7 linked regions of the Macaca fascicularis genome follow. The protein of the gene in region 1 interacts with the protein of each later gene in a pairwise test. Links are inferred from orthologs where the notes say so. Each region holds a gene or a part of one and is shown in the gene's direction. Other genes may lie near its edges.

What was found.
Region 2: the proteins of MTUS2 (region 1) and RTP5 interact in binary tests that used the Homo sapiens proteins (3 or more experiments, as listed by UniProt). The two-hybrid records come from large-scale screens. The link is inferred for Macaca fascicularis from reciprocal best matches to the Homo sapiens genes MTUS2 and RTP5.
Region 3: the proteins of MTUS2 (region 1) and TEAD4 interact in binary tests that used the Homo sapiens proteins (3 or more experiments, as listed by UniProt). The link is inferred for Macaca fascicularis from reciprocal best matches to the Homo sapiens genes MTUS2 and TEAD4.
Region 4: the proteins of MTUS2 (region 1) and LENG1 interact in binary tests that used the Homo sapiens proteins (3 or more experiments, as listed by UniProt). The two-hybrid records come from large-scale screens. The link is inferred for Macaca fascicularis from reciprocal best matches to the Homo sapiens genes MTUS2 and LENG1.
Region 5: the proteins of MTUS2 (region 1) and SHFL interact in binary tests that used the Homo sapiens proteins (3 or more experiments, as listed by UniProt). The two-hybrid records come from large-scale screens. The link is inferred for Macaca fascicularis from reciprocal best matches to the Homo sapiens genes MTUS2 and SHFL.
Region 6: the proteins of MTUS2 (region 1) and TTC23 interact in binary tests that used the Homo sapiens proteins (3 or more experiments, as listed by UniProt). The link is inferred for Macaca fascicularis from reciprocal best matches to the Homo sapiens genes MTUS2 and TTC23.
Region 7: the proteins of MTUS2 (region 1) and RAB3IL1 interact in binary tests that used the Homo sapiens proteins (3 or more experiments, as listed by UniProt). The two-hybrid records come from large-scale screens. The link is inferred for Macaca fascicularis from reciprocal best matches to the Homo sapiens genes MTUS2 and RAB3IL1.

What each region holds. Positions count from the first base shown.
Region 1 is NC_088391.1:9,338,526-9,342,025, forward strand, and holds the end of MTUS2 (microtubule-associated tumor suppressor candidate 2), read left to right. Parts: intron 1-473; coding exon 474-687; 3' UTR 688-3,448; downstream 3,449-3,500. UniProt on the Homo sapiens protein: Binds microtubules. Together with MAPRE1 may target the microtubule depolymerase KIF2C to the plus-end of microtubules. May regulate the dynamics of microtubules at their growing distal tip.
Region 2 is NC_088386.1:137,802,071-137,806,250, forward strand, and holds the start of RTP5 (receptor-transporting protein 5), read left to right. Parts: upstream 1-1,380; 5' UTR 1,381-1,408; coding exon 1,409-1,566; intron 1,567-3,371; coding exon 3,372-4,180.
Region 3 is NC_088385.1:3,905,657-3,909,156, forward strand, and holds part of TEAD4 (transcriptional enhancer factor TEF-3), read left to right. Parts: intron 1-377; coding exon 378-517; intron 518-1,524; coding exon 1,525-1,698; intron 1,699-3,500. UniProt on the Homo sapiens protein: Transcription factor which plays a key role in the Hippo signaling pathway, a pathway involved in organ size control and tumor suppression by restricting proliferation and promoting apoptosis.
Region 4 is NC_088393.1:61,962,034-61,966,128, reverse strand, and holds the start of LENG1 (leukocyte receptor cluster member 1), read left to right. Parts: upstream 1-1,295; 5' UTR 1,296-1,318; coding exon 1,319-1,450; intron 1,451-2,564; coding exon 2,565-2,744; intron 2,745-3,500; exon of another isoform or gene 3,501-3,597; coding exon of another isoform or gene 3,598-3,657; intron 3,658-3,741; coding exon of another isoform or gene 3,742-3,903; exon of another isoform or gene 3,904-3,913; intron 3,914-4,004; coding exon 4,005-4,095. Other genes in the region: voltage-gated chloride channel TMC4, read left to right, coding at 10-165, 471-549, 642-710.
Region 5 is NC_088393.1:10,638,155-10,640,359, forward strand, and holds the end of SHFL (shiftless antiviral inhibitor of ribosomal frameshifting protein), read left to right. Parts: coding exon 1-58; intron 59-527; coding exon 528-760; 3' UTR 761-1,044; coding exon of another isoform or gene 1,045-1,235; 3' UTR 1,236-1,705; downstream 1,706-2,205. Other genes in the region: ANGPTL6 (angiopoietin-related protein 6), read right to left, coding at 1,045-1,235, 1,809-2,079, 2,153-2,205.
Region 6 is NC_088381.1:84,144,450-84,148,679, reverse strand, and holds the start of TTC23 (tetratricopeptide repeat protein 23), read left to right. Parts: upstream 1-1,430; 5' UTR 1,431-1,612; intron 1,613-1,652; exon of another isoform or gene 1,653-2,047; intron 2,048-4,230. UniProt on the Homo sapiens protein: Participates positively in the ciliary Hedgehog (Hh) signaling.
Region 7 is NC_088388.1:12,084,769-12,087,922, forward strand, and holds the end of RAB3IL1 (guanine nucleotide exchange factor for Rab-3A), read left to right. Parts: intron 1-576; coding exon 577-643; intron 644-1,587; coding exon 1,588-1,670; 3' UTR 1,671-2,654; downstream 2,655-3,154. UniProt on the Homo sapiens protein: Guanine nucleotide exchange factor (GEF) which may activate RAB3A, a GTPase that regulates synaptic vesicle exocytosis. Promotes the exchange of GDP to GTP, converting inactive GDP-bound Rab proteins into their active GTP-bound form.

The sequences.
Region 1 (3,500 bases):
GCAGGCACAAGCCTAGGGCAGGGAGGCCAGGAGAAGGCCCCCCCAGCTTCCCGGCAGGCTCAGGAAGGCCTGCGGCTCGTCGCTGCTCTTGTGCTGTTGTCATTGTGAATTGCCAGCTCCGCGGCTGTCTCTCCTTTGGGAGCCCCTGGCAGCACACCCACTCCAGCTCTCCACTTCCCTCCTTTCAGTCGCTGGCCTTTGCTCTGTCCAGTGGACAGCCAGTGCCCCCGCTGACCAGGCAGAGGGCCTGTGAGATGATGGCTGTTGGCCAGAGAGGCTCTGGGAACAGGTGTGTCATTGGGCTAAATGGAAATCATGACTCCACCAAAGTTCTTGGTCACTGGGTCGCCCTGGTCCCTGTTCTCCCTGATGGCATCATGGCCTCCTCCCTTTGTCCTGCACCCATTGTCGTGACCTCAGGTTCGGTGTCCACTAGCATGATTGCTACTTGTTTTGTCATTGTGCCCGTGCAGACAACTGTCGGAGGAAAACGCTAACCTCCAGGAGTATGTTGAGAAGGAAACCCAGGAGAAGAAGAGATTGAGCCGAACCAACGAAGAGCTGCTTTGGAAGCTCCAAACTGGGGACCCAACCAGCCCGATTAAACTCTCGCCCACATCTCCCGTTTACCGCGGCTCCTCCTCGGGGCCCTCCTCTCCGGCCAGAGTCAGCACAACACCCAGATGACGCCACTGCGCGGCCTGCGGGAGCTCCGGCTTCTCGTCCTCCAGTCTCCACCCCGAGGGAGCACCGAGCCGGTGCCGCCGGAGCTGGCCCTGTGCGCATGCTCAGTAGCTGCGAATGCATCCTAGGCGCGTCCTCCTCTGATCCCCGTGTAAGACTGCCCTGGTGTCGGCACTTAGGAACGTGTAAATGGTAAAGTCTGATGTGCAAACGTTTTACCATAGTTAGAGCCAAAAGAAAGACACTTGCAATTGTTCTTGAGCAATGAACTTTCACTGCAGAATTTCAGGTTAGTTACAAAAAGCTCAGTTTTCAATATACATTGAATAATCATTGTGTACTGCACCGATATGTGTGTATATTTAGATATACGTATATACACATGCTGCGGTTCTCAATTTCATTTTTTATAATATGAAGTGCTGACATATTTTAGTGAAGGTCAGCAGTTTTCTAACTTGTGCCTAAGAATTATTGGGAAATGAAAATGCATTTCTATCTAGCTTCCCAGGAATATTTCTACCCAAAATAGAAAAAGGAAAAAAAAATAAAAAAGATACAGAGAAGAAGCGCCTTTCAACTCACCACCAAGTGGTGCTCTCTTTAACACGAACACCAGCTATTTGTGAACGGTAACTGCCTTTGGAACAATCAGCTTCTTAGTCAACATGATGTGAGATCACTATTATTCCATTCGCAAGTTTTCATTATCGAGACTCCTGTCATGAGCGGCTGAGGGAGAGCAGTGGGAAACCCGAAGGGGGTTTAACAGTTCTGCAGACGTTTCTCATGACAGTGACTCATCTCTAACAGTCTTGTAAACACAGTTTTGCTTTTTTCCTAAATGGCATCTCAGACTCGGTCATTAAGCTATTGTTGCACAATCCGGAAAACAGGTTGCACCCTCCGGAAAACCTTTGAGAGAGAGTGAGGATGACCCTGCAGATGACCGCGCCCATTCGCGCTCCATCCTCATGAAGGAACTTGCTGCTAGGGTCTGTATTTTGATCAGGCACAGAGGGGGACGGCACTCCAGCTTGCCATGTGGTTCACTCTGACGCGATGCCGTAAATGATCAACTCGTTGAAATAGGACCCTCAGGCCCCCATTTCATAGCAGCCCCCACTTCAGTTTGGTTCTACAACTCAGCCCCTTCAGTGCACACTGAGATGGCTCAGGGGTTCTGGCAGGGGCTTCCAGAAAAACACACCGTTTCTGTCCCCGGGGAACCAGTTCTGAGCTGTGCTAGATCATCACACGACCACCCAGAAACCCACTTCCACCTCCTGCTGGATGATCAGCCAACGCTGCTGCTGACCGTGCGCCCATCTTAGACCCAGAAGGTTCTCCCAAACAGAGGAGCCCAGTGAAACAGCCAGCCAGGGGCCACCAGCTCCTGGACTGGCATCTGTCTCTAAAATGGTAGAATTAGGATATGAACAGTACTCATGTAGTGGTGTGGAAGATTAGGAGCATGATACACAAAAGAAAGAAGTAGTTTTAACATATATGGTGATGATGATGATGCGCTTGTTTCCTGTATGCGACAAAGACCCTGCACTTTCTCCCTGAGGCCCCCCAAAATTGTCCTGAGCACAGGCCTGTCTTTGAGTGTGCCCAAGGCGAGAAGAACCATGAGGGGATCCTGCAGGGGCCAGAGCCATGGAGCGGGGAAGAAACAGCCAGCGGACGGAGTCGGCTTGCCCAGGGCGCAAGTGTGGCCAACATGAAGGCAGACATGGTCCCTGGCCCTAGCCTGAGTCCAAGCTGAGCTTCCGGGCCTCGGGTACATCTCCAGCAAACCTCCAAGGGTCTTGCTCCTTCTGGGGACATACACAGTAAATCCACATGGAAGTGCCACCATTTCTCTTTGCTTTAGTGGCTCTGCATGATACTGTGATACTGAGTTGGGCATTCCATTAGAGTAGATCATGCCACATTGACTAAGTACACAATCATTTATTCTTGTAGCAGGCACAACCTGCAAACACACATTCGGTTCAGCTTAGCTGCCCGAATTAGGAACCGCTTACATAGCCGCACCTGCTAAACGCAGTTACACAGCAATACCGACTTCTGTGTGATGCTAGAACGTGGTACAGTGTGTTAGGCTGCTGTGGTCAGAGTTGTAGCATTGTTAGCACTAAGTAATTCCTCATTAGGTGGACTTTGGTGAGAGCTTTACCCTAACCCACCCTGACCTTGGGTACTTGAGCTAATTTCCACATGGCCCTGGCTTCGTGTTTTCTTTTTTTTTTTTTTTTTTTTTTTTTTTTGCTTTTTCTTTTGTTATGGACACCCATCGTGTATGGCTCCTCATCTGAGCCATCACTGCTCCAGAAACACATAGGGCAGCAGCTGCTGTGCCTCCTCCCCGATTCTTCCACCCCCCACACCATCAGAATTCAGATTTCTCTCCACGTGGTGTCTGCCTCTGTCCCTTTCCAGGCTGGAGCGACAATTTCCATGTTCAGATGCTGCAGCCTCTGCACCTGCCTCAGACAGACCCACCAGGTACCACCTGTCTTTTTGTGGCATTTGGGGGATGCATGGGCGGCCTGCCCCCCACCCCCGCCCCTGCCCGTCACATGCTGGGACAAGGTTCTGGCTGGATGTTAGAACGGATGGGGGTGGGGACAGCCCTGGCAGTGATTGGTTGAATGAATGGGGTCACAACATCCCTTTTCCTGCCCCTACAGTTTGTGTTGCATATTTGTGTTTAACTCTAAAGCCTATTAAAATAAACTTGAGGGACTTTCTGCGATACCTACTTGATTTAACTGGAGTCCTGTCCCTCTCAGGCTGGGGATTCCAGG
Region 2 (4,180 bases), on another chromosome or scaffold:
GGCTGGAGGGCGGCCATCCTCCCAGCACTGATGGACAGAAGAAAGTGAAGCTGGAATGAGAACACGGGGCTTTCCCTGGCACTCTGGCCCTGCATGGAGGCCCCTTCCCAGAGCGCTTCCTAATGGCTTCCTCTTCCATCTTGCAGTCACACCTACCTGCAAGGCAGGAAGATGTCACAGATTTGAAAACTATGACAACATGCACTCACTTGCCAGCGTGAGCTGCAGAGTGGACAGAGACGAGGAGATAATGCGTGAAGTGGTAGAAAAATGAGAAGAGATTGTTCAGTGTGCAGAGCAGAGAGATGGTGAGATGGGAGCTGTGAGGAGAGCCGGGCGGCCTGGAGGCTCCCGGGGGCAGATCTGTGCTGAGCTTTTGTAGGGATCGCCGGCTGCCTCCGCCCCTGCACGTGCCAGCTCCTTCTCAGCTCGCCCTTTCTTGTTGTGCCCTGACAGGTGGCTGCCATGCACAGCGATGCCACTGAATCTCACAAACTAACCTGAAAAGGTGTGAGAAGCTGGGCACACACATGGGGTGTTTACGTGAAGCTCAGAAGCTGCACAGCTAAAGGGCTCGGTGAGGGAGGCATCACAGGTGTTGAAGCCTCATCGTGGTCCGTGCAGGCACGGCCAGGCTGGTGGCACCTCTGCCAGGAGGGTGGGGGGTGGGGGTGGGGCCGCGGGCTGAAATCGGGAGCGAACAGGCAGTCGGCTCTGGAGGCTGGCAGAGCGAGGTTCTCTTTCTTCCTCTGGGAGGTGGTGACTAAGACTTTAGAATAATTTGTGAAACTCTGCATTTATGTTTTAGGCATTTTATGTAAATATTTTATATTTCTCACTAGTAAAACGTTTAAGAGAATACACCCACGGGACAATCTACAGTGATACACGTTCTATAAAGTTCTTCTCAGCTTTGTTTGTGTGAAAAGCGTTAGTGCTGTTTGCAGAGAGAAGCTGAGTGAATAAGTTACATGACAGCCACAAGCTGGAAAAATACGAAGTGTTCAGCAAGGGATGAGTGTGGGCCACCGTTCCTGGTGCGCAGTAGAAAGAGAGGGCTGGGGATGATTCCTTAGAGCGATGTGTGGAAACACCTGGGCCTCTACACGCACAGGTCTGGGGAGGCCCCTGCGTGTCCACGGGCCCCCCACGGTGCTGCCGCCCCCACGGTGCTGCTGCCCCCACGGTGCTGCTGCCACAGGGATGCTCTCTGGGTGGCGGGGTCATGGGAGATTGCATTGTATTGTATTTTTCCTTTCTGCTTCCCATTTCTTGGAGACAAATCTGGTTGCCATGGAGACCGTGCTGTTGTCAAGGTGGCTGATTGGCCGGCGCCGGATGCAGGGATGCTTCCTTGGGCCCCCGGCGGGCGCAGCCCTCAGCCCGCACTGCGGAGCCAGGCGGCAGCATGGACGGGGCTGGGGCAGACATGTGGGCCAGCACCTTCACCCTGGCCATGGCCGAGAGGAAACCCCAGGACGTCTGGGTTCTGCTACCTGAGCACAGCCTGGTCCCAGGACGCCTGGACGGCGGTGGCGTCCAGTACCTGCTGGTGGGGCTCTCGAGGTGCGGCCAGAGGCTGGGGACCCTGGGAGAGGGACGGGGCTGAAGGTGCTTTTCCACAGGACTTTGGGTGGTCCCAGAGGCTGGGTGGGGCTGTCGGGCCTCTTCTTGTCCCTGAGACGGGAGGGGGGACTGGGTGCTCCTTCTTTCTCCCGTCTGAGCCTCTGCCTCGCCATGCTGGGCACACGGCTGCTGACGCAGGGGTCCCGGGGAAGACATGGCAGGTGCCTCGTGGAGGGTTTGGTTTCCCTCACTCGGCTCCTCAGGCCAGCGCTGCCCGTGGACACAGGCTTATCTCCTGTTTCCATGGCAGTGCCGTGGCCTCGAAGCTGTCTGTGCTGACAGGTGGGCCCTGGGGCGTGCCGGTGCCTGTGGTCACCATCCAGCCCTGCGCTGCAGACGGTGGGGTGCTCGGCCCTGATCGGGGGCCCGGGGTGGCTGTGAGTCACATGTGAGCCTCACGGGCCATCGTCATGGTCGTGGTGCCGTCAGCACAACAGGGTGGGCCCCATCTGCTTCTCTACCCGGCAAGGCATCCACAGCTCTGCCAGGAGCCAGCCGGGAGGGGCGCAGGGCAGCTCCACAGCCTCGCAGACGCCCGGCCTGACAGGCCCCCAGGCTGCCGGCTGGTCAGTCCCTCTGTGGAGATGCCCTGGGCAAAGGGGGAGTCATCCTGCCCTTGGACACAGCCCCTTAGTGCCTGAGACCCCTGGGGCCAGGTGTGTGTAGAATCCCAGCTTTTTCAGAAGTTGGGAAAGTAATAACCCGTGTTGGGGTCTGAGAAGTGCTTGGAAGCACATCACCGTTCCCACAGCCAGGCGGAGATGGCTCTGAGTGACTCCCAGCTGGCGGAAGAGAACTGAGGACGGGTGCCCCAACATGAGCCCCAGCGCCTGTGGCTTTGGCAGGCTCCTCAGTCCCATTTAAACACAGTCAGCAGTTCAGTTCCTCCAGCACGACCGTGTCCACGGGCTCTGTGGCCAGTGTGGCTGCCGGCTGCAGGTGGGGCAGTGTGGCTATAGAACATTCTGTCATCCAGAAAGTTCCACTGCGTGGAACTGAAGCAGAGCCTCTCATTCATGCAGGGTTCCCTGAAGCTCACAGCTGCTTGTGTGGTTAGCAAATGGTCACCGGTCTGGTGACTGCTGTGGACAAGCCAATCTCTCCCAGTGCTCTCCCCAAATCTCCCCTCGCCTGGCGACGCCCAGCAGGGCTGCCTGGGCCATGACCGCAGGCCTCAGTGACGCCCTTTCCCTCAGCTGGCAGGTGACGGGGGGATCACCTCCTCTCAGTCAGGACAGGGACCCCCCTTGCTGAGCCCCCAGGGACAGCCCCCAGATGCATGCTTTTCCCCTTCTAAGTGTGTCAGCTGGCCTGCCTCTTCCTGTGTTAACCCCAACTCACAAAACACCAGCAGAGCCACGCGGGCGGCAGGTGGCCGACACCTCACAGAGGCCAGGCCAGAGCGGGTTTTGCTGCAAAACTGCTGAGAGGTTTGCTTTGCTGAGAACAGCGCTCCAGATGAGGGGGTTGCAAGCTAGCGTGCATGGGCCTGCGTTTGCCCGTGTGGCCAAGGGGCTGGTGGTTTCAGAGCCTCAGCACAGGCAGGAGCAGGTGCTGGGCCGCCTTGGCCGTGGCCCTGGGTGGCTGGCGGGTGAGGTTTGAGGTTTGGGGTTTGAGTGTGGGATGCGAGGCAGGGGGCAGCGAGGCGCTGGGGTCGGATGGGCAAGGAGGCCACAGAACAGAGCGCGAGGCCCGGCCTTGGGGTCTCTTACTGCTGCACTCACACGCACCTCTTTCCCCCGCAGGCTCCAGTGCAGTCGCTGTCCGGGGACCTGGGACTCGGCCCACGTGCATGTCCTTTTCCACCTGTGGTGGGACAGGGCCGGCCGCCGGGGGCTGGTGAAGATGCGCATCTGGGGCCAGCGGTGCAAGCTGTGCCCTGCGCCCGGGGACTGCCAGGTGAGGCCCCCAGGCGAGCGGCCCTTCCTCAGCAGGCTGGTCTTGCACATCCTGCAGGACTGCTACGGGGATGGCCTCGGCCCAACCCGGCACCCCAGGGAGGCCTACGAGGGCTGCTGTGAGGCCTGCGAGCTGGGGGTCTGTTTCCTTCAGAAGGCCCCAGACCCTGCCTGGAGCACCAACACCACGACAGGCAACTTCCCTGCCATGGCCTGGGGTGGCACCGGCGCCGTCTCCAGGGGCAAACAGCTGCCCACCTCCGGCGATGACCTCGGCAAGGGTGGTGGTGTCATCGCCATCCCCTTCTCCCTTGTGCGCGCCAGCAATGACCAGGTGCCCATCGCTGAGGGCCCTGCAATCCCTGCCTCTCTTTCACAGGAGGCCTCTCTCCCTGTGACCGGCAGCCATGGGGCTCTGGTCATTGGCCAGGGCTCCATCTACCTGTCTGGGGATTCTGTGGCCATGCCTGGGGGCAAAGGCTTCCCAGTGGCCATTGGAGACCCCCTCTTCCATGGCCCCGGCCTCCTCGGCAGCAGTATCCAGACCTTCGAGCTCAAAGGTTTCCTTTTCAAGGGCCGGGGTTCCCTCTGTAGCCCCGTTGGCGTGGCCCAGGGCTGGGGCCCCGTCTCCCTCAACAATGGCCTTGTCCCTGCGG
Region 3 (3,500 bases), on another chromosome or scaffold:
GTGATAGTTGATTCATCTGGTTATTTCCCCGACGGGAACAGAAGTTGCTGGACAGCAGGAACTGAACAGTGCCTGTTCTGGAAGCCGTGGTCCTGCAGGACCCCAGTTGCCCTCCAGAATCCAGTCTTGCTGGGCGGTTCCATGCAGAGTCCTGAGCGGCCTGAGTTGTACCAGGCGAGCCCCTCCCCACCAGAGAGGCTCCAGGATGCCCAAGCCTTGCACTCTCTCCTCCACCTCTGCTAGGAGGTCCGTTTAGGGAGACAGGCGGCCCCCCAGGCAGCACGGGTCTGTCCGAGGAGGCCGGGGGTCCTTGCAGAGGGTGCGGGCAGGGCGGGTGTCCGTGACCAGGTTCCATGTGCCTCTCTCACTTTGTGCAGGGTTTGAGTCTCCTGCAGGGCCCGCCCCATCGCCCTCTGCGCCCCCGGCACCCCCGTGGCAGGGCCGCAGCGTGGCCAGCTCCAAGCTCTGGATGTTGGAGTTCTCAGCCTTCCTGGAGCAGCAGCAGGACCCGGACACGGTAGGTCCTGGCCTGTGCCTGGCTGGCTCCCCGCCACCCCCTCTGCCTCTGTTTCTGCTTCCAGTGCTCTTGTCCCACTCCACACTGGGGCTTAATTCAAGTTCCTTGTTCCTTTATGGTCTTTCCTTCCATCCTTCCCCCGACTCCTTTCCTCCTTCACGTCACCCCCTTCCCTCTTTCCCTCCTCCCTGGCCCAGTGCCCTGTTCCTCCCTCCCTGTCCTGTGTTCCTCCCCTCCTAACCCAACCAACCCTTAGTCCAAGGTCGCTGTGGTCCCAGCCCCACCCCCACACTGTCCCAGCCTTTCCCTGGCTCTGAGAGGCAGGCAGGAAGCTGGGGAGTCTCCTGTACGTCTGCTCCACATCCTACGGGATGCCAGCCTGTCCCCTTCAGTGTCCAGTGTCCTGGGTGACCAGCGTCACCTGCAAAGATCAGAGGGGGACCTGGAGGAGGCCAGCGTGACAGGATGCCAGGGCCCTTCTCACTCTGACATCTTCAAACTTTTTTTTTTTTTCTTTTCTTGAGACAGAGACTTGCTCTGTCGCCCAGGCTGGAGTGCAGTGGTGTGATCTCAACTTACTGCAACCTCTGCCTCCTGAGTTCAAGCGATTCTCCTGCCTTAGCCTCCCGAGTAGCTGGGATTATAGGTGCCCGCCACCACACCTGGCTAATTTTTGTATTTTTAGTAGAGACTGGGTTTCACCATGTTGGCCAGGCTGGTCTTGAACTCCTAACCTCAGCTTCCCAAAGTGCTGGGATTACAGGTGTGAGCCACTGTGCCCAGCTCAAACTTCTTTTTAACTGACGACCCTGTGAACCGAATAGACTCTTAGAAGTTCAGGATGTAAAATAAAAGAAGTCTTTTACCATCTCCATTTCACTTACGGGGAAACTATGGTCCAGAAAGGCCAAGCGGCTTGCGCCGGGTCACGTGGTGGGCATGCAGAGCTGGGACTGTCTGACCGTCTGGCCTGTGCTCCGCCTCCCTCAGACCCACTCTCTCTACAGTACAACAAGCACCTGTTCGTGCACATTGGCCAGTCCAGCCCAAGCTACAGCGACCCCTACCTCGAAGCCGTGGACATCCGCCAAATCTATGACAAATTCCCGGAGAAAAAGGGTGGACTCAAGGAGCTCTTTGAACGGGGACCCTCCAATGCCTTTTTTCTCGTGAAGTTCTGGGTAAGCCTGTGATAAACTCTTCCTTCCTACCACCAGGGCGTCCGTGGTAGTGAGAATGGGGCGAGAGTACCCAGAGCGTGCCCTTGCCACAGTAGAAACTTGGGGAGGTGGCACCAGTGAGAAGGGGAGAGCAAGCCCAGCATGGCTATGGGGTGGTCAGAGCTGAGCTGAGGAACAAGGCGGTGATCCCAGAGAGCTGGCCTAGTCGAATGAAGCCTTGTCTCGTGGGTGGTGATGGCAGCTAACCCCGGCAAGACGTGGAGCCCTCAGGAGGTGAAGTTCCAGAAAAAGACAAAGGGGACCCTACGGGGATGAGTGAAGACATTATGAGGAGCGCCCTTGTCACCCAGGTCTTTGAATGACAAGTCCTGCATGGGTTTCTGGGCCTGGAGCTTGTCCTTCAGTGCTCATGTCCAAGGCATGTTGGGCTGAACAGAGCTTGGAGAAGGGGAGGGAAGTGTTGGATGGGCGAGGCCACCCCAGAAGAAACACCCACCCAACTTCTCAGATAGCTCAGCCCATAGACTTGGCCTCTGCGGCCCTCCCACCTCACCCCTGGGCAGGTGTTTTGTGGGTAGAACCCCCTCCATTAGAAACGTCTTGTCTGAGGCCCAGAGGTACAGTAGCTGCCCTGGGAGCTTAGCTTCCTGCGGGCCCAGTATGTGCAGAAAAGGGGTGCGAGGAGAGAGTCAGACAGATAAGTGCTAATGAAGCCAGCAGTGAGGAAGGACAGGAAATCAGGCTCTGTGACTGAGGGTTGGAATATTCTCAGGACATGGACTGAGGTTTTGGTGGCTCTGCCCGCATCCCTCTTCCCCACTCCCCTTCAGCTCTCTGCACACTCTTTTCTTTTTTTTTTTTGAGACGGAGTCTCGCTCTGTCGCCCAGGTTGGAGTGCAGTGGCGCGATCTCGGCTCACTGCAAGCTCCGCCTCCTGGGTTCACGGCATTCTCCTGCCTCAGCCTCCCCAGTAGCTGGGACTACAGGCGCCTGCCACCACGCCCGGCTAATTTTGTTTTGTATTTTTTTTTTTTTTTTTTTTTGGGACGGAGTGTCGCTCTGTCGCCCAGGCTGGAGTGCAGTGGCCGGATCTCAGCTCACTGCAAGCTCCGCCTCCCGGGTTTACGCCATTCTCGTGCCTCAGCCTCCCGAGTAGCTGGGACTACAGGCGCCTGCCACCTCGCCCGGCTAGTTTTTTGTATTTTTAGTAGAGACGGGGCTTCACCGTGTTAGCCAGGATGGTCTCGATCTCCTGACCTTGTGATCCGCCCGCCTCGGCCTCCCAAAGTGCTGGGATTACAGGCGCGAGCCACCACGCCCGGCCTTACACGTTCTTTTCGATGCCTCTTGTGCAGAGATTCTTACCATTTATTTGCTCCCAGGCCATTTTCCTAATCTGAAAGCTTTACTTTTCCTAGAAAGACGCGTATTCACACCAAAGTTTACATACACGTTCGGATGGCTTTGCCAGCTCCCAGTGAGCAGCCCCCAGCCTGGCTGTCACCCACAGCTGAACGTGGGGGCAGGCTGTCTCCAGAAGGGACAAGTGTTGGAACTGAGACCTATGGCCTCTGACCTTCAAGACACTTAGCGTTTGCGCTCAACTAGCAGGATGGAAGTTGGACCCCAGCCTGAGGGATGGGCATATCTGTTGGCAGAGATGGGCAAGGCTGTTGCAGCCTAGGAGTGCATGAGTAGTAAAGGCAGAAGGAAGTGAGCTCTGGAGTGAAGTTGAAGCCGTAGGTAAAGGTATGAAAGAGGGAATAAGAGGAGACAACTGGGAAAGTGAGTTACATTCTGGA
Region 4 (4,095 bases), on another chromosome or scaffold:
TGACTTCAGGATCCCGCCTTCTAAGCCGTGTGGTCCATTCCGGGGGCAGTCGTCCATCTGGGCCCAGATCCCTGAGTCTATTTCCAGCCTCCCTGAGACCACCCAGAACTTCCTCTTCTTCCTGGGGACCCAGGCTTTTGCTGCGCCCCTTCTGCTGATCTCCAGGTGAGGTGGGCCAGACTTCTGGGTCTGGGTTTGAATGCGTGTGATCTGGGGGCCACCACCTGCGTCCAAGAGAGGAAAGGCTTGGGGGTGGGAGCAGGCGATGTACTGAGTCTGAGGGAGGAGGCCTAGGCTCCTGGACTGCTGGGTCCGAAGGAGGAGGTGGGCGGGACTTAGGACTCCTGGATCTGAACGCGGAGGTGCTGGGAGACTGAACTCCTTGAGCCTGGACGAGGAGGGACTTAGGGGTCCACATCCCTGACTTCGAAGAGCGTGTCAGGAGTGGCTTCCGTTCCTGTCTCCTCCAGCATCCTGATGGCGTACACTGTGGCTCGGGCTAACTCCTACGGACGCCTCATCTCTGAGCTCAAACGTCAGAGGGAGACGGTGAGCCAGGCGGGTCCCTGAGAGGGCCCCCGGGGAACACGGAGAGGGGCTGGGGAAGAGGGCTGTCACACCTCCACCTCTCTTTGCCGCAGGAGGCGCAGAATAAAGTCTTCCTGGCACGGCGCGCTGTGGCGCTGACCTCCACCGAACCGGCTCTTTGACCCCCGCAGCTCACGCCCCACTTTCAGACCCCAGGCCCATTGTAAGCCTAGGTCACAACATCTGTAAACTAGGAGAACTGGAGAAGACTCCACGCCCTTCCAGCTTTGGTATCTGGAGATTTCCAGGGCCCCTCGCCGCCACGTCCCTGACTCTCGGGTGATCTTTCTTGTATCAATAAATACAGCCGAGGTTGCTGAGCGCGCTTTGAAATCTGCGTCCTGAAGGTGGGGGCAGGGCTACCGCAGGGCAGGAGCCAATCAAATGTATGGGCATGTTTGTCGGTGCGGAGCGCACTTCCGCAAGGAGACTTGACGGTCATGTCGACCAATCGACGGCCGCATCTGGTAGCATCGGGGCGGGCCAACTTATGATTGGTTCAGATCTGTGATAAGAGGCGGTTGCTAGGGGATACCACGAGCCGAACGCCTAACATTCGCTGTGAAAAGGACGTCTCAGCCAATCACCTGTCGTTACAGGCCAGGGGGCCGTACCAACTAATTCGGAACCAATCTGCGGTCGAAGTAGGGACAAGAGGAAGGGGGGCATCCTCTCGCCAATCGGAAGTGCAAAGAGGCGGGCGTGCCAGTCCCTGGACAGCTACGACGCCATGAATATCTTGCCCAAGAAGAGCTGGCACGTCCGGAACAAGGACAATGTCGCCCGCGTGCGGCGTGACGAGGCCCAGGCCCGGGAGGAGGAGAAGGAGCGTGAGCGGAGGGCGCTGCTGGCTCAGCAAGAGGTAAGCTCGGAGGCCGGCCGGGCTGACCGCCGGAGCCCAGCGCGCACGCGCCGCGGTTGGGGGCCGGAAGCGGAAGCGTTGCGCAGGCTCAGTGTGCCCCGTGTGAAATTCGGGACCAGGCGCCGATCCCGTTTTCGAGGACGTTGCTCTGCAAACCTTGTGGCCACTTCCACGAAACCTCCCTTGATCTCGCCTTCGTCTTAGTTTCCCCCCACTGATGTATTTCACATGGCTGGAACAGTGTCTAGCACAAAAGAGCAGCTTAAAAACATTTAATGAATACATGAGCGCTTGGACAGTTCAAGGAAATTCGGATCACTTTTTAGTTTGCCTGCGCAGTTTATTTATTGAGCACCTATTGTATGCTAACTACATGCAGAGCGCCTGACTTGCGGAATCCCCAGGAGGCACTGTTCGTTCTTAGAGGGGCACTGTCATCTCCGTTGCACGGAGTGAGATGGCTTCAGTGAGGGGAAGGCACATTTAAGGAGAGGGGGACAGCCAGGCTCCACGCCATCGGGCGAGCCCTTTCCTGCACCGCCCCCTAGACACATACACACAAACACGGGCTTTCTGTATGGCTCCTTAAATCTGTTTGGTGTACACCCAACTTTCAGTTCCTTAGCTAGTCTGATCCTCCACAGTGGGTGGGAGGTAGTCTGGGTTTTTAGAATCTCAGTAGGCTGCTGAGCGCTGTTTGAAATCTGCGTCCTGAAGGCGGGGGACAGGGCTTCAGCAGTCGACTTGGGGTAGTGACTTGGAGCCATGGCTAGAATTCAGATCGTCTGGCCTAATGCAGTTTGGTCTACCTTTATGGCTGTTTTAATTGTCTCACTTGAGGTTAGGAACCCCTTTGGTTTAGGCCAGGGACCTCCTTCCAGCCATCCTTGATGACCCGTGGTTTACGATTTGAAAGGCAGTTTACAAAACCCAGGCGTTGCCTCATCTGCCTACCCTCACCCCCAGCTAGGACAGGTGCCTCTTTTAAGCGTCTAGTGCTCCCTTTCTTATAACCCCAGCACCCTGGACTGCCATTTTCTGTGGTGGGCACCAGACTCACAGTTCTTGAATCACCTCTAGGTTCTGAATGCCCTGCCTATAACTTTCTCCCCAGGCCCGTACAGAATTCCTACGAAAGAAAGCCAGACATCAGAACTCACTGCCTGAGCTTGAAGCAGCAGAGGCGGGAGCCCCAAGTTCTGGCCCTGTGGACCTGTTTCGGGAGCTGCTGGAGGAAGGGAAAGGAGTGATCAGAGGCAATAAAGAGTACGAGGAAGAAAAGCGACAGGAGAAAGTAAGCTGGCCTCACCCACTTCATTAGAGGAGCCATGAATCGAGTTGGGGGGAGAGGGCACTTTAGCCACTGCTTGTGATCAAGGTCAAACGAGAACGAACACACAGAATTTAGAACCATACCAAAGCATGACACTTAAGAAGTGTTGCCATCTGGGCACCCACAGGGCTTGGAGGTAGATGCTAGAGGTCCCCAGCTGCCAGGCAAACTGCTCAGTTCTCAAAACTGGAGGGGTCTGAAACCTTGATAGGCTTTTAAAAATGTAAATCAGCCAGCTGTGGCTCATGCCTGTAATCCCAGCACTTTGGGAGGCTGAGGCAGGTGGATCACCTGAGGTCAGGAGTTCAAGACCAGCCTGGTCAACATGGTATCTCTAAGAATACAAAAAAATAAGCCAAGTGTGGTGGTGCACGCCTGTAATCCAGCTACTTGAAGGCTGAAGCAGGAGAATCGCTTGACCTGGGAGGTGGAAGTTGCAGTGAGCTGAGATTGCGCCACTGCACTCCAGCCCGGGTGACAGAGCGAGACCCCATCTCAAAAAAAAAAAGAAAAAAAAAAAAAAAGGCGAATCATTCGCCTCTTGCCTTTTGGCTAAGATCAAGTGTAAAAAGTATGTCTGGTCGTGCATGGTGGCTCACACCTGTAATCCCAGCACATTGGGAGGCCAAGGTGGATGGATCACCTGAGGTCAGGAGTTCAAGACCAGCCTGGCCAAACATGGCAAAACCCCGTCTGTACTAAAAATACAAAAATTAGCCGGGCATGGTGGTGCGTGCCTGTAATCCCAGCTACTAGGGGGGCTGAGGCAGGAGGATTGCTTGAACCTGGGAGGCAGAGGTTGCAGTGAGCCGAGATGGTGCCACTACACTCGAGCCTGGGCAACAGAGCGAGACTGCATCTCAAAAAAAAACAGGTACATGAGCTCTTGTCACTCACCTGCTGTCTCTGGACTTGTTGACCCCACCCATGGCTCCTCTGCTTTGCTTGATCCCTTCAGGCTTCTCTTCAAGTCTCTCTGCAAAGATGCCTGCCTCTGAACACTCAAGTGGCTCCACTTGTCCCCTCCTTCCCCTGCTGTTACCTGCCACTGTCCCCCCAGGGGGAACTTGGCCTCTGTTGGTGTCTTCCATCCCCAGCACCTGGTACAACTGGTTCATGACAAGCCTTAGGTACCTGTTTGCTTAGATTCCTATGTCAGGGAGACACACCTGACACCTTGAAAGATTATATCCCATCTCTTGTATTTCCTGGCCCCCTCAGGAGAGGCAAGAGAAAGCTCTGGGCATCCTGACATACCTGGGCCAGAGTGCAGCGGAGGCACAGACTCAACCCCCTTGGTACCAGCTACCCC
Region 5 (2,205 bases), on another chromosome or scaffold:
GATCGCCGCAGCACCCACACTCACTCCTGCTCGGCCGCCGACTGCTACAACCGGCGAGGTGAGGCTTTTCTCCTCCAACATCCTGGGCAGTCTTTGTCCCCTTCTGTGCCTTTAAGTCCCCAAATCTCCACTCAGTCCACTTCGTCTCCCACAGCAGCAGCCACTGCTTCTACGTGGCCTCCATGGCCCCCCAGTCTCCGTGGTCTTGCCCACGAGGCTCTGAGGTTTCACCCCAGTGGCCCATGCCTGAGGGTCTCCATGGCCTCTGCCCCCATGGTCTCTGGGTTTGGGGCCCCTGTTTTGTCCCCTGTAATCTCAGGTGACCCCCCATGTCCCCAGGTCTCCTGTATCTTCAACACCCCTGAATGTCCAGTTGTGCTGGTCCCCGTATATTGTGGCCTCAGCTCTTCCCTAGAGCCCCTCGTGGCCTCAGCCCCTCCCTAGAGCCCCTCGTGGCCTCAGCCCCCTCCTGCCCAAACTCTCATGGGACCTGGAGTCCCATGTCTGCAGCACCTCTCCCTCCCTAGAGCCCCACGTGCCTGGGACATCCTGTGCTCACCCCAAGAGCCGGAAGCAGAACCACCTGCCCAAAGTGCTCCACCCCAGCAACCCTCACATTAGCAGTGGCTCCACTGTGGCCACCTGCTTGAGCCAGGGCGGCCTCCTGGAAGACCTGGACAACCTCATCCTGGAGGACCTGAAGGAGGAGGAGGAGGAAGAGGAAGAGGTGGAGGACGAGGAGGGCGGGCCCAGGGAGTGACCCCTGCCAGGTGCAGATACAAACCAGACACGGTCTGTGGCTACTTTGTGTTATTATAAGATATGAGCTCAAACCGAGATATGAATGACCTTGGGGAGCCATCTGGGGCCAAGATATTGACAGGGGGGGATTCCTGGGGCCCATTTTCAGCACCCAGGGTCACAGATCCACAGTGGGAGGTTCTGTGGGACACACTGGCACTGAGCCACAAAGGTGTGGCCAGGACAACTTGAGTTCCTGCTGACCAATGTCCCCTGGGGCCTAGGGGACAGAGGAACAGAGAGTCACAGCTTCAGGGGCCGAATGAGCATGGCGGCCTTCCTGAGAGAGTATGCTCCACCACGAAACTCAGCCCAGTAGACACCATCCTGGTAGCGGCTTCGGTAGTGGCCGCCGCGGTGCCACATACCGTTGAGGTTGGAGTGGGCACAGGCATGGTACCACCAGCCTCCCCGCTGGTACAGGGCACAGTTACCTGAGGGGAGAGAGAGAGTCCATGTCCTCTCACCAGAATAAAAGTCTCTACCTGCACCTCACAGTGCAAGGCTTTTGCCAGGTATCCCCTGGCCCCTCCCATTCTTATTTAATACAAGCCCTGATCTTCCATCTCCTCAGCAAAAAAATAGGAGCCCTGGCCCCCCAACTTTCTTCGGAGTAATAGCCTTAATTCCTTCCCTATCTCCTTACCAAAGTACGAGTCACACCTTTCCCACTTTTTCTGCAAACTAGGAGTCTACCACTCATTCCTTTATCAAAGAAAAGAAAATTACCTACTTCCTTTCTAGATAAGAGTACTAGCTCTCACCCTCTGCCCTTCACTTGAACAGGAGTCTTGATTCTTTTTTTGCCTCATCAGAGAAGGAATCTGGACTCCCCATACCCCCACCAGGATAAAAGTCCTGACCTTTGTTCTCTTGACAGAATAAAAGCTTGCTTATCCTACTACTTACCAGAGGGGCGTCTTACCTACCCTACCTCCTTTCATTCCCTCACCAGAACAGGAGTCCCACCTCCCCTATCCTCCCACCAGAATAAGAGTTCTCCTTACCAGAATAAGAGTCTCGGTCCCTATCCACGGTGCTGAAGGGCTTGTCATTGTGCCAGGAAAGAGAGTCTCCAGCATCACCATGGTACTGGCCAAGCCGCAGGCGGTAGTGGTCGCTCTCAGGTTCCAGGGAGAAGCCATCATAGTGGGCACGTGCTCCACGGCCTCCCCAGTCTTCCAGGAGAACCAGCAGCTCATGGTCCCCACGGCTGGTCAGCTGATACACGGGTTCAAGGCCCAGCCAGTATTCTCCGTCTGGCCGCCCAAAGCCCGCCTGGCAGGGCAGGAAAGTCAGGAAGCCAGAACAGGCTCCCTCCCCTTCCCTGTCTCTGCCCACCTGTGCCCACCTTATAGTGCTGCCAGGTAGTGAAGAAGTTGACTGAACCATCTTGCCTCCGCT
Region 6 (4,230 bases), on another chromosome or scaffold:
CCCGCCCGCGGCTCTACTCTTGCTTCCGGCTCCGGCGTGGGGTTTGATGTCCACGGAGTGGCTTTTTGTTTAGCGTTTTGAAGGGGTAATTTAGCCGGCTCCAACCTCGGGAGCCGCCAGTTACTGGCCTGTTCCTTCATTCATACATTCATTCAGTCACTCGGCCTCTCATTCAGTAGCACACGTTGAGGGATTACAGCAGTGATCCCACGTTGAGCGTTCATTCTAAGAGCTGTTTATAGATTATCTCGTTGAACCCTTGACAGCAATCCCGTGACACAGGGACTAACAGCACCAGTCTGACGGTTGAAAAACAGGCCAGTGAGTTTATGTAACGAAAGCAATGTTAGCAAGTAGTGAGTCTAAGCACTAGATTTAAGGGGTCACTGCGCACTGGTAGATAACAAAGATGAGGAGGAGGTAACCTAGTCTCTGCCCTTCAAGCACCCAAGGTTTATTGTGAGAAAAGATTGCTACAAAGGACAGGAACAATTTAGAGAGTTAAATACAATGACAGTTCCTAGCATGACTGAGTAGGCTGTCATTATGTATTTCTTCAAGACAAAAATTATGTCAGCGAAATAGCATCAAAGAAAGAGAGTTTTATGCTGTTAAAAATGCTTGGAAGCATAGTTCGGAAACATTGTTAAGAGACACTTTTTAAAGTGTCTCAATATGACAAATTTCCTTCTGAAATGAAGGTTTTAAAGTATTTTCCTCTACTGCAATCGCTGATGTTTTTTGTTCCGTGAAAAGCCTGTCTGTTAATTTGCGAGGCTCCTTGTCAAGGAACCTTAACTTTATAATGAAGCAGTTTTACAGTGGCTGACTTAATTACTCTTAGAGATGAATAACCTAGAAAGCAGAGTTACATTAAATAAAAAACATTGGTTTCAAAACAAGGTATGAGTTATAATAAAATATTTATCAGTTATCTGTTAAATTTGGTCTTCAAGAGCTACTCAGGTATAGAGCACAGTATATGTCATGTATTTCTAAGATAGTTTCATAATACTTAAGAATTCGTGGCACTCAAATTTTTTGCTGGTCTTAAAATGAGGAAATCCACATTTTGTGTAAAAACAAAGATACTTTTGTGGTCAACCCAAATAATAAGACTTGCTGCTAATATATGAAGAGGTACACCCCCCAAAAAAGAAAGAAGATTAACAATAGAACAGTTTTTTCAAAATAATGTTAGCCTCTTAGTTTTCATTTCTTTTTTTTAAAAGGGGAATACCGTTTTTCAATGCATTCATTTAGTATCTGATATTTGATCATGAAAAATGAATCATGTTAAAATTACTTTCACCTCCTCCCCAGATTGACACAAAAGTTACCAAGTGATTATATGTGAGAGTATCCTATGACCCCACTCTTAGAAGTTCTCCCAATTTGCAGAGAATCAATTTGCACGTTTTGTCTCTCTCGAAGGGGGAAAAAATTCTCTAAGCTGGTGATTTTACATTCTTTGACAAACTTCAATAGCAACAGGCAGCGATACCCCTTTAAGCAAATTGCAAGGAAAAGACCTCATTTTAAAATTCCCACCTCTGGCTCCCAAGGATTGGTTTGCAAACTTCGACAAAATACTCTTCTCCACTCGCTATTGGTGAGTGCCCTATCATTCATTCTTTTGCCTGGAGTTTTGTGAGGTACCCCCTTGCTTTACGGGAAAAAACTGCTCCGGAACTGCCCTACTTTAGACTTTTTCATGGTTATCAATCTGTACAAAGAATCACCAAACTGATAAAGCAGGAACCAAAAGGGCAAGTCACGCTGCCAAGACAACTGTGTCATTCGCTCGAAAAAGAAACGGTGAGCCTCCCCAGCAGACTGGGTAAACCGGCAAAGGATTTTACGACATAGTTGGAGATTGGAGAGTTACAGAAACTTTTACGATTTTGTTTTTGTTTTTTGTTGTTGTTGTTGTTGTTTTTACAAGTTTTAAAGGAGTGATTGAGTGTCAAAAGAAAAGCAGAGAAAAATACAAGCACAATTTAAAGATAGCAGGAAGAAGTGTTCCGAGAGTATTTTTCTCTTTAGGGTAAGGTTTGAAAGCATCATGCCCAGATTATCAGTGGATTTTTGAAAAGTAAAGGAGGCAAGATAGTAAGATTAACTATAGATCATTTTCTACTTTAAGAATCTGTGCTTCGTTTTTGTTGCTTAAATGGGGATTTAGAAGGACATTTAGTAATATTGTAATTTTTAAATGAATTTTTTTTTGTATATTGTCATACCTGGTATAATAGATAATGCATCTATTAAAAGATATAAGAGAAAATAGAGTTGCTTGAACCCAAATTTTGTGTATATCTGTGGATTAGGGAATCCAGGGACAGATCTGCTAATGGCTAAATAAAACATACTATAGATACCTGAAGCAGAATCAGCATGTAAGGATAAATTCTCAAAAAAGAAATCTAGCATCGTATTTTCAAAAATGGCATTTTAAATTAAAACAAATATAAAAGAGAATTTATCAAGGAAACATAGATAAACATGAATAACTATTTCTTGAGTTGCTTCTGTTAATCTATATAGGGGAATATAAAGTAATAAAATCCAGCCCCTCAAGAACAGGGACAAATGAGGCTCAGAACATTTAAACTAAAACTTCTGAACAGTTCTTAATGCCCAGATGACTGTTGTAGAGCACAGATACTTCAGGAGCTCAGCTCAATGTGAGATGAATTATTCAGAGAAGGCTTCACAGTATGGGTAAGACTCAATTTGGGCCTGAGCAATGGGCAGAATTTCAGAGAGGAAAGAAGGGAAGTGGCATCCCTACTAGTGAGTGAGTTGTTAGCAAGTATGTGCAGCCCGAGGAAGAGCTGGCTCTGACTGCAGCAGAAGGTTCATTTGGAAACTTTGGTTAAAAATTTATAAAAACAGCATGAGAAAAATGAAAAGCTAGAATTCCCAAAATCAAGGGTTTTGGTCCTGTGTCTGGAACAGGAGGCACACCTTATGAAAGTAATATTTGAAGACGATAAAACTGACAGTGCAATTTAAGATGACTACAAGAACAGAGACCAGAAGCTAAGGGGCCTCATACTGTAAATACTGGCACACAGATGAGTAACCCTGCTTCTTACCCAAATACATTTACCTTATCATTGCTGAATAATATAAATTTTGATGCATTTCTTTGTAGTCTTCGAAAGCATTGAGTTTACTTCTTAAGATTTTTGGGGACCTCTGCCACATTGTTTTGGGGAATCATGGTTGCCCCATCTTTATAAAAGTCTTGTCATAAGATGTATAAAAACCAGAATTACACATGAAACTGCATTGCGGTTTCATACCTATTTTTTACCAGCTTTAATGAAGTATAATTTATATATTATAAGGTTCATTTAAGGATATAACTCAATGATTGTTTTAGAAAATATAATAGAGTTGTACAACCATCACCACATTCCAATTTCAGAAAATTTTCATCTTCCTAAAAAAATACTTTGTGCCCATTTGCAGGCAAGTCCTGGTTTCCTATCCCCAGCCCCACTCACTAAAAAACTTTCTGTCTATAAATTTACCTTTTCTGGGCATGTAAATGGAATTACACAATATGTGATCCTTTGCATCTGGTTTCTTTTACTTAGCATAATGTTTTTCAGGTTCACCCATGTTGTAGTATGTCTCATTACTTCATTCCTTTTTGTTGCTAGGTAATAATCCACTCGATGGCAAGACCACATTTTATTTATTTAACAGTACCAGTTAACAGACATTTGGATTTCTTCCAGTATTTAATGATAGTGTTTAATTGTACTAATTGTAATTGTATTACAGTAAATACAGTACAGTATTTAGCTATTATGAATAATGCTGCTATGAAGATGGGTACAAGTTTTTGTATGAACATGTGTTTTCAGTTTTCCTGGGTGTATATCTATGAGTGGAATTACTGTCATATGGTAACTCTGTATGTGTAACTTTTTGAGGTGTTGTACAACTGCTTTCCAAGGTGAATTCCCACTTTACATTTCCACCAGAGTGTATGAGGGCTCCAATTTGTCCACATCCTCACCAACACTCCTGATGATCTGTCTTATTCATTTGGCTGGATTTTAAGTGGTATCTTATTACAGCTTTCATTTGCATTTTCCTAATGACTGATGATACGAAGCATCTTTTCATGTGCTTATTGACTATCCATAGATCTTCTTTTGTAAAATGTCTTTCAAATATTTTTCCTTTTTTTTTTAATTGGGTTGTCATCTT
Region 7 (3,154 bases), on another chromosome or scaffold:
TCCTCATAGCAGTGTCTGAGCCAACACAGGGTGCCCGGGGCCTGGCATGGAGCAGGCCTGAGGCTCCAGGGGCCCCGGGCAGCCCAGGTGAGCGGCTTCTGACCCCCTTTCCTTTCCTAATGTTATGAGTAGCACTGGACTGAGGCCTGGCTGGCCCAGACCTCCAGCATCTGGAGCAAGCCGGCCTGTGAGAAGGGTGAGCATAGACTCTGGGACAGGCTGCCCGGTTCATCTCGCAGCTCTGCTGCACGCTGGTTCATTAGCTCCGCCATCTCCGTGATGGATATCAGCAGCTTCCCCTAGGTGGTTCCGCATTCCCCCATGTAAAATGGAATAATAAGCGCGTCTGCTTCATTCGCTGCAGGCGCTTGATGAAATGGTTGCTGCTATTGTTATTATAACGGTGCTAGTCATGCTGTTGTTGATTACTACTTGAAAGCCCAGTCCCAGCTGAGTCAGGGAGCACTGCCTGGCTTTGCGGGGACCTGGGGCCTCCTGCTCTGGGCTCAGATCCGCCTGTCAGGGGATCCTGTGTGCGGGGCTGGCAGGTCACACCGTCCCCGCCTCTGCCCACAGATCACCGCAGTGTGCAACTTCTTCACCTACATCCGCTACATCCAGCAAGGCCTGGTGCGGCAGGACGGTGAGCGCCCCCTGGTGGCCGGTGCAGGGATGGCACACGGGAGTGGGGCTGGGTGGGGAAGCGGCCTCTGGGCCCAGCTGCCCCTAGTGGAGGGGAGACTCAGCTAAGAGGCTGCGGAGCGGGGAGGGCTGTGGGTTAGTAAAGGGTTCACACCATCCTCCTGGGTGCTGAGCTGTGTACCTGAGTCCGTCCGGCTGGTCTTTCTTCTGCCACCAAACCTCTCTCGGTCCTGCACAAGGGGTCACCCCTGTGAATCTCTCCCTGGCCCTGGTGTGGCCATCTCCTCCTGGTCACCTGAACACAGGCTCGCCCGCCTCCAGCCTTTGATCCCACTCTACTCCATGCTGGACAGGGCCTCCCTCCACCCCCTTCCCCCACAGCCCATTCTGCAAGGCCTGGCTCCCTGCTCCTCCACCAACTTTGCTCCCTGCTGAGTCTTCTGAACCAGTCTGGCCCCACCCTCTGAGTAAGGAGCCGTCTTCTCTCCATCCTGGGGGTCAAGTCCCCTTGGAGGCCAAGGCACGCTGGGTGTTGACGCCTGTTAGATCCCCGGATGGCCACTGTGGTCCCCCCTTCACTGCGCAGGGTCCTTGTGAGAGGGTCCCAGGGAGGCATCTGTGCCTTGTCTAATGTAGTTCCCAGGTCTGGACCACCGCTGTTGCATGTGACAGCGTGTGCCTGCGTGTCTGCATCGGGCTGTGGGGGTGGCCGTCAGTGTGGTGCAGACAGATCCCTCGAGTGTGGTCGACACGCAGCAGTTTCCAAGGCTCAAGAGTGGAGCCTCAGAGAGATCCAGCCACTCGCTGAGGTCATCTGTTTTGGGGGCTGGGGACCCTAGGGTGCTGTGCCAGCTGCCCCGTTCAAAGCCACGGGAGGGGACCTGGCCATGTGCCCGAGGTGGCCCTGAGCTGCCCCTGACCTGCCCGCCCTCTCTCTGCCTGCAGCAGAGCCCATGTTCTGGGAGATCATGAGGCTGCGGAAGGAGATGTCACTGGCCAAGCTCGGCTTCTTCCCCCAGGAGGCTTAGGGCACAGCCCAGGCCTGAAGGGGAGCTCTGAGACAGAGCAAACTCCCATCCCAGAACAAGCCGACTCACAGGGAGACGGGCCTGGAGCCAGCCCTGAGCCAGAGGCAGAACGGATGGACAGACAGGCCATGGAGGCAGCACTGAGCCAGCACCACATGTCCATCCTGGGACAGACAGAGGGACAGACGGGCCTGGACTTCACAGCAAGACCCCTCTCTCTTCCCCACTGGGTTCTGCCACCACCAGGAGGATTTCAAGAAAGCACCAAAGACCAGGGAGCTCGGATCCATACTCAGGGGGCCTCAGCCCTTGGGAGGGGACACCTGAGGCAGCCAGCGCCCCCTCCCCAGTCCCCAGAACCGCCTGCAGGTGCCTTGTTGCCGGCATGTCTTCAGAAGGGGACTGTTCGGGGTGGCTGGATCTCCAGGGTACCCTCCGCCCCAGCTGCCAAGCCCTGGGCCAGCGGCGCCCCCTTGTGGCCATCCCATGCCTTGTTCCCGGTGGCCTCCCTATTGGACTGCTGGGAGGGGCTGGCAGGGCCTCCGGAGCACAGAACTGCCCCAAAGCCTTGTTAAGATGAGTCAGGCCCCCCCTCCCTCCCTCCCCTCCTTTCCCCCTTCCTCCCTCCCCCTTCATAAAGGCCTCCCTTGTCACCTTCCCTCCCACCCCATCTCAGCCCTGTGCTCCTGGAGGCCCTGCTCCCAAAACCGCTGGAAGGATTGGGGCAGTTTCTCCCACAGTAGAACACAGACAGGGCTTCCGATCGCCCACGCCTGTTTTCAGCTGTGGGTGGCCATGCAGACACGCGCCCTGGCACGTGGGGCCTGGGTGGGCAGGCAGGACTGGGCCCTACTACCCATCAGAGCCCACTCGGGACCAGGGTTCAGGGCGCCCACCTGGACACATCCCTCACCACGTCCGGATTTCCTTCTTTGGATGGAATGTAACGCGATCTCTATTTAATAAAGGAAGGCTTTGTTGGTACAGGCTGGGTGGCCACGCGCCCTCACTCCTGCACCCTGGGGCTCTGGCCAAGGCTTGGGCATCTGAAGGAATGAAACCAAATCCTTTCCCTGCCCACCCTCGTGCTTGGGATTAAACCCAAATCCTGAAGCCACCCCACCTCCGCCATCACCACTTACTTGCTGTGGGGAGGACTATTGGAGTCCTCCCTTAGTATTCAGAGGGCTGTGGGTTACTGGGGGATGAGCCAGGCCTCCCTCTCCCCGTGGCTGGTGGCCTGCTGTCGGGAAGAATGGCACCAGGGCTGGCTCTCCCGCTGCCTCACTGTGGCACCTTGGGCAGGTCCTCCCCTGGGTCTCCTTGCCTCCAGCAGTGGCCTCCTCCAGTCTCGCAGAAGCCTGCAGCTCAGAGGCAAAGCATCCAGGCCGCCTGGTGCTCAGGGGGACAGTGACAGGATGGATTGGTGATATCTGCTGGAAGTACAGGCAGGGACCATGGAAGCTCTGGGTTTCCCAGCCCAG